Arabidopsis thaliana: one gene and its partners. The protein of the gene in region 2 purifies or fractionates together with the protein of the main gene of each other region. This does not show direct contact. Each region holds a gene or a part of one and is shown on either strand. Other genes may lie near its edges. The genes, in order: PGM2, ASP2 and MSD1.

The links.
Region 1: the proteins of ASP2 (region 2) and PGM2 fractionate together in Arabidopsis thaliana (co-fractionation; one large-scale study listed by BioGRID). This does not show direct contact.
Region 3: the proteins of ASP2 (region 2) and MSD1 fractionate together in Arabidopsis thaliana (co-fractionation; one large-scale study listed by BioGRID). This does not show direct contact.

The regions. Positions count from the first base shown.
Region 1 is NC_003070.9:26,667,844-26,674,983, forward strand, and holds PGM2 (Phosphoglucomutase/phosphomannomutase family protein), read right to left. Parts: upstream 5,324-7,140; coding exon 5,249-5,323; intron 5,040-5,248; coding exon 4,803-5,039; intron 4,583-4,802; coding exon 4,501-4,582; intron 4,406-4,500; coding exon 4,350-4,405; intron 4,197-4,349; coding exon 4,083-4,196; intron 3,964-4,082; coding exon 3,901-3,963; intron 3,755-3,900; coding exon 3,635-3,754; intron 3,533-3,634; coding exon 3,432-3,532; intron 3,303-3,431; coding exon 3,243-3,302; intron 3,141-3,242; coding exon 3,041-3,140; intron 2,915-3,040; coding exon 2,754-2,914; intron 2,660-2,753; coding exon 2,564-2,659; intron 2,426-2,563; coding exon 2,362-2,425; intron 2,275-2,361; coding exon 2,193-2,274; intron 2,114-2,192; coding exon 1,935-2,113; intron 1,847-1,934; coding exon 1,770-1,846; intron 1,687-1,769; coding exon 1,554-1,686; intron 1,462-1,553; coding exon 1,345-1,461; intron 1,249-1,344; coding exon 1,177-1,248; 3' UTR 803-1,176; downstream 1-802. Other genes in the region: AT1G70740 (Protein kinase superfamily protein), read right to left, coding at 6,004-6,450, 6,532-6,718, 6,855-7,089. UniProt on the Arabidopsis thaliana protein: Catalyzes the reversible isomerization of alpha-D-glucose 1-phosphate to alpha-D-glucose 6-phosphate. The mechanism proceeds via the intermediate compound alpha-D-glucose 1,6-bisphosphate.
Region 2 is NC_003076.8:6,595,820-6,602,727, reverse strand, and holds ASP2 (aspartate aminotransferase 2), read right to left. Parts: upstream 4,758-6,908; 5' UTR 4,528-4,757; coding exon 4,474-4,527; intron 4,132-4,473; coding exon 4,060-4,131; intron 3,946-4,059; coding exon 3,884-3,945; intron 3,790-3,883; coding exon 3,706-3,789; intron 3,581-3,705; coding exon 3,481-3,580; intron 3,386-3,480; coding exon 3,265-3,385; intron 2,990-3,264; coding exon 2,826-2,989; intron 2,683-2,825; coding exon 2,545-2,682; intron 2,408-2,544; coding exon 2,286-2,407; intron 1,923-2,285; coding exon 1,828-1,922; intron 1,714-1,827; coding exon 1,593-1,713; intron 1,216-1,592; coding exon 1,131-1,215; 3' UTR 757-1,130; downstream 1-756. Other genes in the region: AT5G19540 (thermosome subunit gamma), read right to left, coding at 5,004-5,448, 5,672-5,958, 6,125-6,395, 6,506-6,543, 6,633-6,908.
Region 3 is NC_003074.8:3,416,097-3,420,562, forward strand, and holds MSD1 (manganese superoxide dismutase 1), read left to right. Parts: upstream 1-1,843; 5' UTR 1,844-1,918; coding exon 1,919-2,213; intron 2,214-2,691; coding exon 2,692-2,738; intron 2,739-2,818; coding exon 2,819-2,944; intron 2,945-3,055; coding exon 3,056-3,112; intron 3,113-3,231; coding exon 3,232-3,309; intron 3,310-3,392; coding exon 3,393-3,485; 3' UTR 3,486-3,796; downstream 3,797-4,466. Other genes in the region: AT3G10915 (Reticulon family protein), read right to left, coding at 5-171, 349-418, 522-663, 760-940, 1,281-1,360, 1,493-1,608; AT3G10930 (uncharacterized protein), read right to left, coding at 4,132-4,437. UniProt on the Arabidopsis thaliana protein: Destroys superoxide anion radicals which are normally produced within the cells and which are toxic to biological systems.

The DNA of each region.
Region 1 (7,140 bases), on a different chromosome or scaffold from region 2:
TATAATTTAAAGATAAATATATATATATATATATATATATATATATAAAATTTAAAGATGAGATAAACGAGGGAAGTACAATAATCAATAATACACTATTTTAAAGTCTTGTAATCATATATGTACATTGTAGTTTTTTTTTACAAGTATGAACTAATACGGACAAAAGAGCCAACTCAATCAATCTTTTTGTATTTGTAACTGTGATACCATAAAGAACACTGCTAAAGAGTAAAGTCTATCAACAATTTACTATAGTTACATGAATCAATTACGTGAAAAGACTTATTTTGATTAATTAAGCATTTCTGCATAAGAAAATGCTAATATTAAGCCTTTTGATTTTTTAATATTTTTCTTCGAGGATTCTATAATCAGTTGTGATTTCACCTAAAGTTAGACAATACTATACATAAAATCATTCTAATTTTTTTTATACTTAAATGCTGATCTTTTTATACGAGCTAACTCTATACTTTGACTATAGAAGCAAGAGAAATAGACAAATGTATAGCAAATAGCTAACCATCAACTGTATGTTACAATGTTGATGGTTAGCTAAAGCATCAGTCATTGTTGAGACAAAAGTTTAGTAGAAGACAACAAATATGGAGAAAGGACAGAGGAAGAAAGCCTAAAGTGGGAGGAGTGTTTGGATGGTAATGATGCCTCTCTTTCTTTTGGATTTAAAAACCAAATAAGAAAGAACCCGTGAACCCTGACTCACTTATACAAACTAACACATGGCACAATCTGATTCACGAAATTCATGCCCAACATTAGCTTTTAACTGTCAGAATGTTTTTGTTGGTCAAGCTCAAGAGACAAATTATAAACATCTGTCTTCTGGCTTGTCATCACCACCTCTCGGGTCCATTATCTATAGTTGTACACCGTAGGTTTTAGGTATCAGTTATTGTTGGATTCGCTTTTTACTCTTGCTACGTCTCCATCTGCCACACATGCTCCAATATTGTGGCAATTCTTTTTTATTTGGAGGAGCCAAACAAAGCTAGAAATTCAATTGCCAACCTAATGTATATTCCATTAAAATTATATGTATTGAAGTATACTTGTGTAAGATAACAGATAACAGGAAAAAAGCAAAACCCAAATTCATAAGAAATGAAGTTGGAATGAGAGTAGTATTGGAGACAGCGTCTTCTGAAAGCTGTCTTATGTAATAACAGTTGGTGATGATCGGCCGGTGAACTCTTGCATTTTCGACAGCTTTAATGCAACATCAACCTGTGAAAATCAGACACCAACAATTGGTGTTAATAAACATGACAAAGATCGATTATGCGTAAATTTGGGAGTAATTAAGGTATCTGGGAATCTGACCAGGGGACCAAGAGCATCCTGAGAATCTCGGCCGATCTTTGAGGCGTCCTTCTCGTATTGTTCAATGTATAGCCTTATTGTTGCTCCTTCTGAGCCAGTTCCCGAGAGACGGAACACCTTCATGAACAAGAGAAACAAGCCCGGATTAGCTTTTACAATTTCACAGGTTGTTGAATTGTTATGAATCCATTTCACACATATCGACTTACAAGTCGTGATCCATCCTCGAATAAGTATCGGATCCCTTGGTGCTTTGAAACAGAGCCATCTACTGGATCTTTGTACTCGAACTCATCTGCGCTTGCAACATTTGCCACCTCTGGATGAATTCCCTTTATAATCCTGACCAATTATCCAAAAACGTGAGTCTGAAAGTCATACAAGTAAAAAGGAATGGATTTGAAATTAAGTGGAGAGAGAGATACTTGTTGACTTCGGGAAGTGAAGATTGCAACTTAACCAAAAGTCCCATGAGTTCTTTAGCTGCAGTTGCGTCTACGTTCTATGGAGCAAATATTTAGAAATTGGTCAAAGGTAATTGGTTATTCTACATATTGTCTACAACCAATAATGACATTTGTCAGTTTTACCTCATAGTCGTATCGAGTGTAATAGTGACGGCCATATGTAGCCCAGTGCTGGCGGACAATGTCTTCAACCGTCACCAGTTTTGCATTCCCATCAAGGGTTTCCTTGTTCTTGTGAGCCAGTATTGATAGCCAAGCAAGAACTGCCCAGATCCCATCTTTCTCACGGATATGATCCGAACCTGTCGAAAAGCTTCTTTGTGAGTTGTGTAGGGTTGTTACGGTTTTAAAACATGTGAAGATCTAGCAATAGAAGCTCACCGGTTCCAAAACTTTCTTCTCCGCATACAGAGCACATCCCAGCATCCATTAGATTGCCAAAGAATTTCCAGCCTGTTGGAACCTAAAATATAGAAGTATTAGAGCAATAGACTATGTTACGTGATTGCAATGAATAGAAGCTAGAGAAAAGCTTCACAATGACATCTACCTCAAAGAACTTCAAACCCAAGTTTTTTGCAACGACATCAAGTGCAGCTGAGGTCGGCATGCTCCTGCAATACGAATGTGAAAGTTGAGAATTTAATGAGAAAAGATTGTTACTATCTATAATAAACAAAAACGTATGACACCAAAGTCCAGCGTTTTCAATCTATGAACTGGAGTAAACAAAGAAGAACCGGGATGCATACCTAGCAACACCTTTTAAACCAGAGCTGAAGTATGGTATGGCCCCAACAGCATTTGCAGCAATTATAGCAACTGAATCCGAAGGAGTTACGAAAAACCTGCGGAGAAGAGATATTTTTGGTTAACGGGGAGAGTGGTATATCCGCTCCACATCTCTGTGATCTCACTTAAAAGAGAATTAGTCTCTGCTACCTTTTACCGAGGATCATGTTTCGGTCTGCATCACCATCAGCAGCGGCGCCAAACTCTGGAGGCTCGCCACCAGCATCATCAGTTTTACTCAATCCCATGCGTGCCACGAGCTCCTTAGCATAGGTAAGATTGGGATCCGGGTGGCCCCCTCCAAAGTCCTCCTGTACATTGTCCGATTGTCGTGTTGTTATAAATCATAAAAGACACTGTTCAACGTGTATTTATAATCCTTTCAGGAAATGATATTTCTTGGTTATACAAAATAAGAAAGAAGAAAAAAATGATACCTTGGGTACGCAGTTCAACAACGAACTTTCTGGTGCACCTAGTTCTTCGACAAAGATGCGATGTGCATATGCTCCAGCCACTCCATGCAATGCATCATAGCTTCATAGAACGATGGGAAATAAAATATCAAAGACATGATGGAGCCTATACAAGCAAACAAACTCAAAAGAAAAGATTTATGGATGTTGATGAACTATATACCAGAAAGTAAATTTTGGATAAGATAGCAATTTCTTGATGGATTCAAAGTCGAAGATTGACCTGAAGAGACGAACAAATCTTTTAGATCATCGATACCGCAGATTCTGGAACCATTCTCTTAAATGCATAGACCATAGAGGGAGTAGATTCAAGAACTGTTCTCTCAGATACAAAGATGGAAAGACTTACTTCATTAGTTTAACATAGTCATCTGCAGAATCAAAAACTTCGACGTCAAACTTTCCTTCAGGTCCTTCAAAGCTGGTTATACCAATAGTAGAAATATCAACCTGTTGCATTCAATCAAAAAGACCAGCAAAAAAACATGATTAGTACAAATACAAGATGAAAAAAAGATGATGACAGGTAATAAGATCAGAAATGTTAGGTACCCTGGGTAGATCTTCCGCTATTGGGTACTCCTTGATTGTCTTTGTGTTCTCGTAAATCTTATCAGTGATTGATTCAGGAGCTGGTCCACCATTTTCCATATTGTACTTAATTCCGAAATCCTGTGAATAGAATAGCAGGAAATCAGCATATGGAAGCAGAGAGATGAACATATAGTTTAACAAAACTGATGCTAGGATTCAAATAATACTAAGTGAGGGTATCGAATGAACAAGCACAAAAGAGTGAGAACAAAAAGAGAACTGACCTCAGTTGGGCCACCAGGATTATGACTTGCTGTTAAGATAAATGCTCCTGTGGCTTTAGATCCCTGAAATTGGATCTCGGGTTAGTTTCTCATCACGTCATTACATGTTGCAAACATGCATAGCCTTAGATAACAACCCAAGAGAAAAGTAAGTAGTATGAGTTTAGAGGAAGATATCTCACATCAGCCCCTACTCTTTCACGAATAATAGCTGATACTGCAGGAGTTGATAGCAGACTGTTTTGACCAACCCACACACGTCTAACACCATTAGCTGCTGCCATCTTTACTATAATCTGTCCAGATAGGAAATAAAGTGGTATTGACGAACTATCTTTTTTATGAAATAAAAGATTCAAAACAACTAAAATAAGAGTAAAGTGTCTAAGAATTATAAGTTAATGCAAAACGCAGTTTGCCATCATTCAAAGGACATATAAAGCTTTTACCTGAATAGCTTGCTCTGAATAATAACGACCATCACCAGAAACCACAAGTGTCGCACCTGAAAAAGTTAACAAATACTCTTTCTTAGATGGAATTTGCAATCATCGACCTTTACCTGAACAACAATCAAAGAGAGGTAAGAGAGATCTTTACCTTTAACTTTCTCTGTAGTAAGAGCATTGAACGTTGCCTGGACAAAATTTTCAAGGTAATTTGGTTGCTTAAACACTTTCACCTGTAAAATTACGAAACAATGCGTAAATTCAAATCTCATCGGATCGGATCAAATTGTTAAAACCAACACACAAAATTCATTCAATCCATAAGATCGGAACTAAATGAAGAAATCAATTTCGTTGCGAAGATCTGAATTTAGAATTCAAATCTCTAATCCAATTTCGAAATAAGAACGCGGGGATTGATATAACAAGGAGAAGAAGCGAAAGCGAACGAACCTTCTTACGGAGTCCAGAAGTCCCAGGTTTCTGGCCATCAATAGGCGAAGTAGAGACGAGAGAGACCTTGAACGACACCATTTCAAATCTGAAGAAAATCGAATAAGCCTGAAGATGATAAAATAAAAGCCTTTTTACACAGTGAGTCTGAGGAAAGGAGATGAAGAGGCTAAACGAGAAGGTGACGCGTGTGGCTCGTCTCTTTTCGTTTTTTTTTTTGGTAGGATCTCTTTTCGTCTTTTAGTGGACCTAACTTTTTACCCAAAACGGGTTAGTATATATATTTTATTTTTAATTTCCAATAGAGCCGAAACGATTACAAGGCCCAACAAGCCGACAGAGGCACGAATGGCCCAAAGAACATACATGGCAATAACTGCCTAAAAGGACACGCAGGCCCTAGAACTAGAACCTAAATAAAACAACGAGGCCCAACCGGGCATTACCCCAAAAATGAAAAGAGAAACTTTAACTGAAGAACCTGAATCAGGTAGAAAGCAAGAAGTAACCAAGAGGAACATTAAAGCAAGAAGTAACCAAGAGGAACATTACGTTGATGTCTCTGATGATTAACACTGACGGTCTGTGATTCTTTGGCGAAGTTCACCTCTAGAGTGAACCAATTTGATTCACCCCCTTTTTAATGACAAATCAAAATACAACATTATGACATGTCATACTTTATTTAAAAATAAATGAAAACTAAAATTTGAAAAAAAAAATTAAAGAAACAAAATCTGTATATTTTAAATTAAAGAAAGTTAAATATATGTTTGTGTATTTTCTCCACTAATTTCAGTTAGTATTTCTTTTACTATCAAAATAATTGTTTACAAAAACCCTTTTTATAAATTTTAACTGAAAAATAATTTAAAACGCATAAAAAACATTTTAGTTTTATGTTTTGTTTAAAGTAAGGTACCGTTAATACGTACAAGAGAATATGCTTTTATACGTACGAGGCCAATAGTGGGGACCTAGATAATGGGACTACAAGTGATTATTCTAATATACAAATGTAACAAATGAATCATAATTTTTTCCCGCTAATATAACAAATCATACTACAAAACTAAATCACTACTGCAGTCAAAAAAATAAATTAATTTACTTTTCAAAAGCAAAATTAAATAAATTATGAAACAAATATTATATATGCAGCTCGCTATTTACAATCACCTATGACCAGATTTTATGTACTTCAATAACTCATATGTCGTTTCCCGTGAGGGTCTGAGCTAGAGCTCTGACCAGCACTTCTAGTGGCATTACTCCGAGTTGAAGCTTTAGAAGATGCGGGGGTACCTCTAACACCAGTTCCCGTGTTTGTGTTCAGGTTTGAACCGAAAGAATCTGTGCTGGAACCAGTGGTCGACAATGTTCCAAGTGATGCTGCTCCTGAAGGACGTTGTGTTCGCCGACGGTATCTAGATCCCGGGACACCAGGATGATCCGGTTCTTCTAGATGTCCTGGTTTTCTAGAGAGAAGTAGAGATACCCGTCTCATGCTCGGTCTTTGATGCGGATCGCCTTGAACGCAGAGTAGTCCGATCTGTACACAGAGTTTGACTTGATCTGGATCAGCTGAAGCTGCTATATCTTGGTCTAGTATCTCCATGGTCCGGCCTTTCTTGTACAACTTAAATGCCTGTGTCACATTCAGAAAGAATTTAGCATTGGTTATATTACGCTGAAGAATATTGGCTGGGTCAGGCCATCACACAACAACCCTATAAACAATGGAGCATGAGACTAGAGGCTTTACCCATTCAAGAAGAGTCTGGTCAGGGTGTCTCATGCTAAAACTCGAGTTCTTCTGTCCACTTACGAGCTCCAGAACCAAAACCCCAAAGCTGAATACGTCTGCCTTTACCGATAGAACCCCGTGCATTACGTACTCTGGCGCCATATAACCACTGCGCATAAGAAAAGAAGAAGCAATGGACGTTAAATAACATTCTACCATGAAACACCAACAAACAAAAAGAGTTCAAATGACACAAGAAGATATGTAAATGAGCTTTTTAAGGGTAAACAATAGAGAGAGCATACTTGGTTCCTGCAACACGAGTGTTGACATGTGTTACATCTTCCTGATAGAGTCTAGCCATCCCAAAATCTGCAATCTTAGGAACCCATTTTTCATCCAGCAAAATATTGCCAGCCTTAATATCCCTGTGGATGATGCAGTTTGGCGCGTCTTCATGTAGATAGAGCAGTCCTCGAGCAATGCCTGTTATGATCTCAAACCTCTGCTTCCAATCTATCTCCGATTTTCTGTTGGATTCTGCATTCAAATGAAGCAACCACTACATGTTAAAACCATCTTCTTTCAATA
Region 2 (6,908 bases):
ACTAATCCACATTTCGTTAAATGAGCTTGTAAGAACATTTTCTAAATAAAATATGTCTACAAAAATGTGACTGGCTCAACCGATTAGAAAAATGATGTTTTAGAGTTACCCGCCGGACCGAGTTAGAATCCTATGTGCTATAAACTTGGAGAGGGATAATTTATGTTTTGTGGATCGTTATTGTTTAAGCCTGATCTCGAATTAAGTAAGACTATGGATCAAATATAGCTGGAATTTACAAACTTAATAACTTAAAAAGAGAGACAATCGAATTTTAAAATCAGATTTTGACTAATTCGTTAGTGCAACAGTAGCATGGAGGCATGTAACACGGCGACTCTTTACCAAGTCTAAACATTTCTGTTTATCCTACTAATTTAAAAGATTTGATTTCAATATCTTATAATACTGCTTTAATCGTTTAATCACGTCGTGTAATTTATCACTTTGAAAAGTGGTGTTTATGACCATTTTCTCATCCACTCACTGATGTATAAATATTGCATTGACATTTTTTTTTATCAAGCGGCTTAAACAAATGAGTCTACCTATAAATGGACACATTGAAACAAGTTTTCATTAAAGAAACAAAAGAAAACTAATTAAATACAAAAAACCATATAACCTCATTCCGTTTTACATTTTCTTATCTTTCATGTTCACTATATGTCCCTTACAATTCCAAACGATCGATTGCTTCATTTGAAAATTATGTTTATGTGATATTTTAAGAGATGGACCAATTAGAGAGTATTCCGACAAGTATTTTTTTTTCTAATACAAATCATACTTCTTCTTAGGTGTGCCAAACTTCCCAAAACTTATTTTTTTCCAGCGAGAACCAAACTATAAGGATCTCTCAGCAAATAAAATAACAGGACATTTGAAAATTCTGCAAAATAACAATTGTTGGTGGCAAATTAAAGTAACCAATATTTTCTTAGAAACGGTAGATCTCAATGTCACAATCCTCACTTTGGTTTTGGTTCAACCATCTTTAGTCAAAAGACATGAGGAAACATATGGTACCATCAGAAAAAAACCATAGTATATAAGCCAACAAAAACGGTGTTCTTTTTTTTTGTCCCATTTTATTTGTAGAAACAGCAAAAAAATGTATGGTCGCTAGTTTAGCCGAGGCGGGTCACTGCAGCATGCATAGCATCGGCAAGGTGAGGCACTGTCTTCGAACTTAGACCTGCCATGCTTATTCTCCTGCAATACAACAAAGTAACCCTTTTTCAATTTGAAGCTCAGAAAACTTACAAATCTGGTATTTTCTAATATCCTTTGCTTCATGCAACTATAATTTCACTAGCAAGAATATGATGTCATATCTCACTTTCTCAAAATATCAAAGCAACTATCTTGGTTCACATGCCTAAGAAGAACATAATGAAACCTGTGGATCTAGTTCTATATATATCTGGTTATTACTGCTAATACTCTTACAACTAAGAGAGTTTGGCGAAAGTATTTTAGGACCTCTTAGAAATACTTCATGTCATATATACTTATGGTTTTAGGCATAGCAGAAACCAAACTCACTCATATTCCTAAAATTATCGAAAAGAAAATATAAGTTGACTCACCCATCAGAGGTCATGTAAATGTGGAACTCTTTGGTCATGAATTCAACTTGCTCCTTGTTCAATCCAGTAAATGTAAACATCCCAATCTGTTTGATAATATGACTCCAGTCACCAGGTGTACCTGCAATCCAGACAACGTGTCAAGAACAAAAAACTGCAGAGTAATGATTCTGCAAACATGGAAAAGAAGATAAACAGAGTGAAAAATAAGAGAGGAAAGGAATTAATAATAAACCTCTAGCTTGTATAGCTTCAAATAACTGTTGGCGCATGCTCTTTATACGGTCAGCCATTTCTTTCAGCTCGATGGTCCAGTTGTTGTACATATCACTGCCAATATATACAAAGAAATTTTAGAAACTTAGAGCAGAACCTAATTCCATAGATATTCATTATAAGCTTGATAAAGCAAAGGAAAATGTTTGTGATATATGCATGATTCCATAGAAAAAGAAACTTGGCATAACCATTTCAACACAGCATAAACTATCAAATTACTGCGTATGGAAGATCAGTAGGGATCTCTCTTTCCACTTGCCTATTAATTTTTAATGTCAGCTTTCAATGTATACATATATCTTGTATGTAATAATCTAAAAATGTAATTTTACTATACTAACTCCGGTTTAAAGGTTCCTTCTCCAACATAATATATTCAAAGTAATTGTAAACTAAAGCATGATAATCATGTACCTGCTTTTTAGAATGGTGGCAACAATTGATGCTCCATGAATAGGGGGGCTCGAATACATGGGCCGCACAACAAGCTTCACCTGGCTCTCAACCTTACTAGCCACATCTGCTGACTTGCAGACCTTCACATTATATCACACAGATTAGATGCAATTTTTGAATACTGTATTCTTGTACTATCCATTAGATGAACTTTTTGACTAACCATAATGTCAAATGAATAGAAGCGAATAAGAAATTGAGAAGTTTGGTTCCTTACAATGCTAAGGGCACCAACACGCTCCCCATAAAGTCCCATATTTTTGGCGTAACTTTGAGCTATCAAGCATTCACCGCCATCAGCAACAAATGTACGGACAGATTGTGCATCTGTGTCAAGGCTACCACTAGCAAAACCCTGCAAAAGTGTTAGGAAAAATGAGTCAGGCTGCTATTTTTCTACATTAGATAAGATTCAAGCATACACTATAACGGGGTTCATTTGTTTGTAAACCACCATTGAATAAAGCAACAAAGCAAGACTTCCTTTATGAGTGCTACCTGATATGCACTATCAAAAAAGGGTAATAAGCTTTTAGATCTCATCAGCTGTCGAATCTGTTCCCACTGTTCAGAGGTTGGGTCAACTCCAGTGGGATTGTGTGCACATGCATGAAGTAAGACAATAGCTCCAGATGGTGCAGCGCCAAGATCCTCGAGCAAGCCTGTTTTTTTGGCATCAAAGGTCAATGTTTGTATCAAATGCCATTTTACTTTGACAGAGTGCAATCTTGAGATTTCTTTCCTTACTCAAATTTCAAACATAGAATTGTCAAAATACGATCATTAAACTTACAGAAATAATTTCATTGTGGTTATATCAAGGAAAACACAGGAAAAGTAGAGTAGATGGATAATCAAGCAATAACCATGACTAAATTAATGTCAGTGCAACCACATGAAGATGAAAACAAAAATTAATGGAAAGTTAAGAATCAACCTTTGAAGTCAAGACCACGGGTTGCAGGATCATAGTAGCGGAAATACTCCACAGACAAGCCTGCCAAGTTGAAAACTTTGGGATGGTTCCCCCAAGTTGGTTTTGGAATGTAAATGACACTCTGGAAGGATGAGAACCATAGTAAGCAACACTTGTTTGATTACATAATTCAATGACTGTCAAATATAATAAAAAACTAAATAGAGAGAAGTTTACTTGGTGGTAGTGTGTTTTGAGAAACTCAGCCCCAACTCTCAACGAACCAGTACCAGACAAGCACTGGACTGTAGTAACTCTACTTTCTGTAATCGCAGGACTGCCAACAAAACAAGAATATTTATAAAATATTAAACTTTATCAACTAAAGGGGATATTATGTCACAAGAGAAACAAAGCAAAACACAAATGAAAAGATAACAAATAAACAGTATAGATGATTACCTGTCAGCACCTAAGATGAGCTTGGCGCTTAACTTGTTAAAATCGGAAATACCAACAATGGGAATGTATTCCTTGACCCGAGACCTTAGAGAAGTAGAGAAAAGAATTTAGGCATTAGCAAAAAACAAGAATAAGAAGAGACAACTACACGAATTAGTGACAATGTTCTTCAACTCACGGATCGTTCACTAGCTGTTGCTCTGCCTTACGCACCACATCAAGAACAAGAGGCTTCCCTTCCTTTGAAAAAAAGAGAAACAAACTAATCAAAACCTGAGCTTTCAAAAACTGGCTAGTAGAAACAATTGATACCATAAAGTTGCTTAACAGTTTAAGCAGAAATCGAAAAATTACCTCAGTTCGGTAGGCACCGACACCCAAATTGATCTTAACAGGACTAGGATCATTGTTGTAAGCAACAGTTACCTGTTTTCAACAAATCATTAACTCTCAAAAACGTTACTAAAAACTAATAATCAAATCATTGATCACACAGACTAATAATATTCACTGTGCCAGTAGATCATCGAGAGTCATATGTCTTCTAATTCCCAGTAGCCAAATAAGAATCATATCCAAATCGAGTAAAACACAGAGAAATCAAATCCCAACTCTCTCCGATCAGACGGAAAAAAAGTAGAGACGCACTAAAATCAGATATAACCGTCATGATTTCGGATAACCGAGTGAGATCGAAGCAAAGACGGAATAAAAAATCAACTAAAACGCGAAAAAAGTAAGAGGAGATCAAACAGAGAAGCGACATACACCGAGAATAGGATCTTCGGGAGCACGAGCAACGTTAGAGAAGACGGAATCCATGACGAGACAAGGGATTGAAATTGCAGACAATGGATCTTGAAGAAGCAGAGGAGGAATAAGTTAAAAGAGAAGTCGTCTTTTTAATCTTGTTCACAAAGAGAGAGAGGTTTTGAGAATCAACTTTTAGCTGTGGGCGCCTATATTGCGATTTGGCAACTGTGGGCGATGCTTGAACTTGCCCAACAAGTCGAGAAATTTTATTTACATTTTTTTTTTATACGAGAAATATTCCAATTCCTTTTTTCTTTGTCTGACTTCTTTTTTTTTTTTTGTCGTTTTTCTTTGTCTGAATTCTAATTTCCATTTATTAAGTAATTTTTTTTTCTTCATAAAAACATTATCATCAAACCAAAAACAACTAGAGTTACCTATTCAATAGATTTCTTTGACATCAGAGCCATGTTTGCTTTACAACAGAGAGACTTGGGACACTGTAAAAGGTATTTGACACTGTTTGTACATGATTCTGTGCTGCGTCATACAATTTTTGTATTATCTATAAACTGGTATAACTCTGCACCTATCTGGGTAGCCCAGTCAATTGTCGAACCAAAGAAGAGCTCCCAAAAGCAGAGATCCAGTGCAAGTACAGATGAAAATATTAGCAATGCCAATGTTTGGTACCGGTTTAGTGGCCAACGCAAAGCCTCTGCCATTTTCCTCAGAATCGGATATGAACTAGTCTCCAAGTCCGTTGGATTTCTGATGGACCAAGCTGTTACCCATCTTACCTCTGAAGGAACAAGATCAAACTCTTCTCTCAGTCGTCTTCCCAGGTCGGGCATGTGGCCTCCGCCATATAGAATTCCAATTCTCTTGTGTCCTTGCTCTATTGCTCTTCTTAAAGCTTCCGTAGCTGCTCGGTTTCTCTCACCAATGATGACAGATTTTTCCTCTATATCTGATGTCTCTAGTGTTAGCCTTCACAACAACAACAAAAAATAATAGAATAGTTAACTTCCTACTAGCCTTACATATATTTGCATGTTCTAAGAAAATAAGAAAAAAACTACTCTGCCTTGCCCTATCTTTGAAGCACATACACAATTCAAATGGTAAGAAATGTGTCAAGTAGAGCACATATCCCAAGTTTAGATCAGCAAAAGAAAAACAACTTCAGAATCATGAACAAGACCGGACTTACTCGGATGTCAATCTCTTAGCAAGGAAAACCTTCATAGCAGCTCCAAAGTCAAGCCGTGAAAGTGCTTCTAATTCTGGATAGTCTGAGGTCTGATCTCCAAAGTCAGCACAAAAAGCCCCGATTAGGAAAAGACCCACAAGAGGCATAGGAAAAACCCGTGAAACCCATAGAAGCTTTGACCTCCAAGTATCACGACCTTCAGTTACCAAAGCTGGCTGTATCATTGCTTTTGTTGATCTAATAGTCATGTCCCTGGCAAATGAGAAGAAGCTTTCTCCTTTCTCCTTCTGCAACAAATATGATACAGGTTTAATCATCATTCAACTGATAGTTCTCACTCCCAAATAATACAACCATGATACAGGCCAATGCGGAAACCAAAGAATATTACTCAAAAATGACAGAGAACAAGCAACAACTAAAGACAGGCACTTCTGTTCTTTGGAAACAAACCTGAAGCAACTGGAATGTCTCGAAATCGAGATCAGCATGGTACCAATTCTCAGTATCGTAATCTAGACAATCTAGCTGAAAATCAAGTGTTAGTACTCTTGCCATCTGCCGCTGAATGAACCCAAGAATACTGAAACCTCTTGAACGAGAACTCTTGAGCCTCTTAGATGCAATAGGGTTTCTCCTGTTTTCCAAGGTCTCTTTACTAGCCACCATCTCATACAAGATAGAATCATATGGTTCAAGCTCCTTCTGAAGAGTTGTGAAGTACCTACACACCCAAACCCAATCCACATATATCACCACACAAGAAACTAATTAAAACTTAATCAAACTCACTAGTGATATAAACAAATTACGAGCAATAGAAGAAAGACTCACTCTTTATCTGCAATATGAATAGTTGAGACCAAATCCACCTGCAATATAGAGATGATGAAATCGATAAAAATGTTACCTTTATCGATTTAAATGGAAACCCAGCAAGTAACAGAGATGGTGATGTAACCTGAAGAAAAGGGTTGAGAAGAATCCAAGGGAAACGTTTCTTGTAACTCACGATTGCAGTCTGCAACTCGCTGGTACCATTTCCGGGGTCGGGACGGCGTTTGAACCGCATGTAATCAGCAATTGAATTGGATTCGAGAAAAAGGGCGGCGTCGGAAGCATCATCAGAAGGCTGATTCAGTGAGCACGAGACGAACACATTTGGACAACGGGAATTTGACTGGAACCGGTATTGAGATATGCGGAGAAGTTTCGAAGATGAGTAAAACGAAGAAGA
Region 3 (4,466 bases), on a different chromosome or scaffold from region 2:
AAGCTCATGAATCTTTATCCTTGGATAAGCTCCATGAGAGTCTGCTTATAACATTTTCGTCTACTATTTTGTAGTGGTGAGACAACCGCCTGTGAATCGTCCCGCAACACTTGTCTACTTTGCTTTGATATTTACTGTACAAAGCCGGTATTGTTACAGATAGGATGGTCCCTGTTCACACCATAAAAAGTATAAACTTCATATAAGAATTTGGTTCACTGAGTTTAAAACAACAATGTCGCAGGAACTAAAACGAGATCAACAAGCCAACGTGGGGGATGAAACTGAAGGATCAAAAAACATAGAAGCTTTTTCCTTTCATTTGCATTTAAGGATCAAGTTACTAACCGATGTAAAGAAGAGTGCAGAGAGATATATAGCTACCAATGGCAGAGAGAAGCCACAGACAAATCACCACCTGCTAAAGAAAAATCGTCAGACCAACAGTTCAGATGCTTAACGGTTCCCATGTCATTTCACTCAACATCATCGTGAGTTTCTGAATGGGTTAGCTTCATAACCTTGAAGAAGAGTCGAAAATCGTTGCCAACTGTGACATCATGAGCCATTACAAGCAAGTGATTGAGTTTTATACGGAAAGAAGCTGCAGCACTATTCACCATTTCCTCTGATAGAACAAGCTCTGGCAACGAATGCAACTGTCTGCTTATAAAGAGATAACAGGTAGAAATCATCACTAATCAGTCACATAACAGCAAAGAATTAAGAAAAAGAAGACTAGTGAAAAGTAGAGCGCACCTATTCCTAAAAGCAGAAACCCGGGCATGAACGAATGATATCATGATCACGATGAGTAAGACATCCGAAGAAACAGATAAGAAAGGCAACCCGGAAAACTCGAATATAAGCCAGGCTACAGTTGATATAATGATAACCCCCAAAGAAAGATGTCGCCTCCTCCATAAGAGCAAGTCAGCAGCTACATCAAAGAACAAAGCCATACAAAAATCACAAACAGTAGCTTTTTGCTGGACCTATGAACTCATCATGCGTATCCAGAGATTTGAATCAATCAATTTCTCATTCAAAATCAAACCTAAACCTAACTTTCACCTGCCAAGTTTTCCATTTTCTACTATACCCAAAATGCTAAATGTACTTACACACATGACGATTTTCACAACCAACCAAAATCAGAAACCCTAACTATTCCAACTATCATCCCCAATTTGAATTTTCTGTTCTGTAAATCCGAGAAAATTCTCATCACAAACTACCAAAATGATGAAAAAACACAAATTCTGGAAAAAAGAACTCGCCTTTGCCACCACCCATGAACTGATGAACCGTAATCTGCCGACCCAACAATCGATAATCCGATGACGATCCTCCTTCATTTCTTCCATCGAAATCACCATCGATATCACTTAAACTATCCATCGGAGAATTAAAAAAAAAAAACCGAATTTACACAAATTCTCCGACTTCCAGGTTCCTATTTCGATCTCGCCGACTCCGATTTGAAATTTACCTTAAAGATACGATCTCAGTACAATGGTTTGTGAAAGCAGCTAGATTGATGGGAGAATGACAGCGATTGGGTGGATTATCAAGGAGGAACCAAATAGAATTGGCTTTCACATGCATCCAACAAATTCAACATTTGGAAATTCTCCGTTTCTAGTCAACTTTCTTCATTTCTTTATTTTTTTCCTGTGAACAAACAAAAAAGTAACATTTAGCCGTCACAAAATATTAAAAATTACGCTTTATTATATTAAGGCCTTGGGCTCACTAATCCAATATTACGGCCCATAAATAAAAATCACATGTCTACGTGTCAAAACAGTCACTTTTCTCTATACATGACAGGCAGTGATATTATCATAACCCTCCACTTATACACATGTTCATTTTTGGCGACCACTAGAAGGAGAAACAAATCTTCATTCCAACAATGGCGATTCGTTGTGTAGCGAGTAGAAAAACCCTAGCCGGCTTGAAGGAGACATCATCGAGGCTATTGAGGATCAGAGGGATTCAGACTTTTACGCTTCCTGATCTTCCTTACGATTATGGCGCATTGGAACCGGCCATTAGTGGAGAGATCATGCAGATTCATCACCAGAAGCATCACCAGGCTTATGTTACTAATTACAATAATGCTCTTGAGCAGCTTGATCAAGCTGTGAACAAGGGAGATGCTTCCACTGTTGTTAAGTTGCAGAGCGCCATCAAATTCAACGGCGGAGGTGTGTTTGTGTGTCTGACTCTCTTTTTTTTTTTTTTTTACGATCTCGATTTCTATGTGTTTGATCGATTGGTTTGTGTTTAGATCGTGTTTGGATGATATTAGCAAATGAAGTAGTTGATTTAGGAGAGAAATTTGGTTTGAACAGTGAAGCTGATGAGTAATTTTGATGAATTGGGATGAAACTTCTGTAAGAATCAATGAAACTTTTATCGGTAATGCAAGCTTTCTTAGATAGCTACTTTTGTTTGCTGGGTCTTGAGATCATAACCAGTTGATTTAGTATAGAACTTTTGTTAGGAACATTGAAGCTGTTGATTAATTTTGATGACTATAGTTTGGTATTAGGATTGTTGCTTCTTGAGCTCCGGACCGGTTGGATTGATAGAAGAGAAATTGGCAGAGAAACTATTGGAAATAAATTGAGTTTTTTGTGTGCTAGAGAATGGGAATTGATCGACTTTATTTCTAACGTGCAGGTCATGTCAACCATTCGATTTTCTGGAAGAACCTTGCTCCTTCCAGTGTGAGCTTGTGTTTTGAGTTTCTGTGTATTTCTTCGATTTTGTTGTTCTGTAATTGATGGTTTGTTTTAATGTATAACAGGAAGGTGGTGGAGAGCCACCAAAAGGATCTCTTGGTAGTGCCATTGACGCTCACTTTGGCTCCCTTGAAGGTCTGGTGAAAAAGATGAGTGCTGAGGGTGCTGCAGTGCAAGGCTCAGGATGGGTGGTCTGTAGTCTAGTTTCACCTTTTTATTTCATCTGCTCACATTGTCGACTCTGGTGCTTTACGTATAATAACCATGGTCCTTGATTCGCTTGTTTCTGTTGATTAATTCAGTGGCTCGGACTAGACAAAGAACTGAAGAAGCTAGTTGTTGACACAACTGCCAATCAGGTAACTTATCCATGATCAGGAATGCGCTATTGAATATGTTCAAAAGATTTCTTGGTACTCATGAACATCTGTGAGAATAATGGGTTTTAAAGAAAAAGAGTTTGTTTCGGTTGGTGCAGGATCCATTAGTGACAAAAGGAGGAAGCTTGGTACCTCTGGTGGGTATAGATGTTTGGGAGCACGCCTACTACTTGCAGGTAACAACACTTTTGATACCTTAAGTCTCATGAGTTAGCTTAAAAGATTAAGCTCTCTAATCAATCTGTATTCTCTCATTCAGTACAAAAATGTGAGGCCTGAGTATCTGAAGAATGTATGGAAAGTGATCAACTGGAAATATGCAAGCGAGGTTTATGAGAAGGAAAACAACTGAATCGTTTACACGATGACATAAGGAGATGAACCAGTTCCAGCTCAGCTTTTGTTTTAAGGTTGTCTGAAACAAACTTACAGTGTCTCTTTGGTTTTTAAGATTTGCTCAACTCAGCTGTGTGGTACGTTGTTTTACAATGAAAGTTTTCAAGAATAAAAATTTGCTATTATTGTCAGAAAGCGCTATTGTTTATTCTACGAAGAAAACAAAACGGAATCTTATTGGTATAATAATTACCTCATTTCAATAAAACAATAACTAATTTTCTCGTTTTTCACTACTCGACACATATATGACAGGAATATTATAACGAAGAAATTTGGGATTAATGAAATTTGTGAAATAATGCATACACACTTGTGTAATAAAAATGCATTATCTTTGTGTCTGCGTTGTGGAAAATGGATCATAGTCAAGTCTCATAAAAAACGCGTTCAATTCAATTTATACATATTTCGCCTAACTTTTGATTCTTTACGCCTTGGCCCCATTCTTATCTTTTAATTTTATCTCTTTCTTGGAAGTTACCCAAACACTAATACAATGTCAATTCAAATGGTATCCTTGACTCTTTTATGCGTTTAACTTAAAAGACTTTCTTAGTCTAAATAAAATTGATACATAATCATAGAAATTAAAAAGCTGATTAACGTTTATCAAAGAAATATTGATGAAACGATACAAGATGATAGTCTAAGTCTTGATCATTTCGACTTACATTACCAAATAAAATCCTCATTTTTCCTAAACTTCTACTGTAAATTTCTGTAATACATGTAACATTTACAATAATCTCTATTTGAAAACGAAAAATCAAAGAATCTCTAAAGAACAAAAAAAGAAAGAAGTAAGAATTAGGACAGAAAACTCTAGAAAGAATAGTGCTAAGTCTTGACGTCGTTAGTTTTCTTGCTGGGTCCAGACCCCGGACGACTCCCTTTCGGAAGAGCATTCAACACCAAGGACCCGAACTTTCCGGCG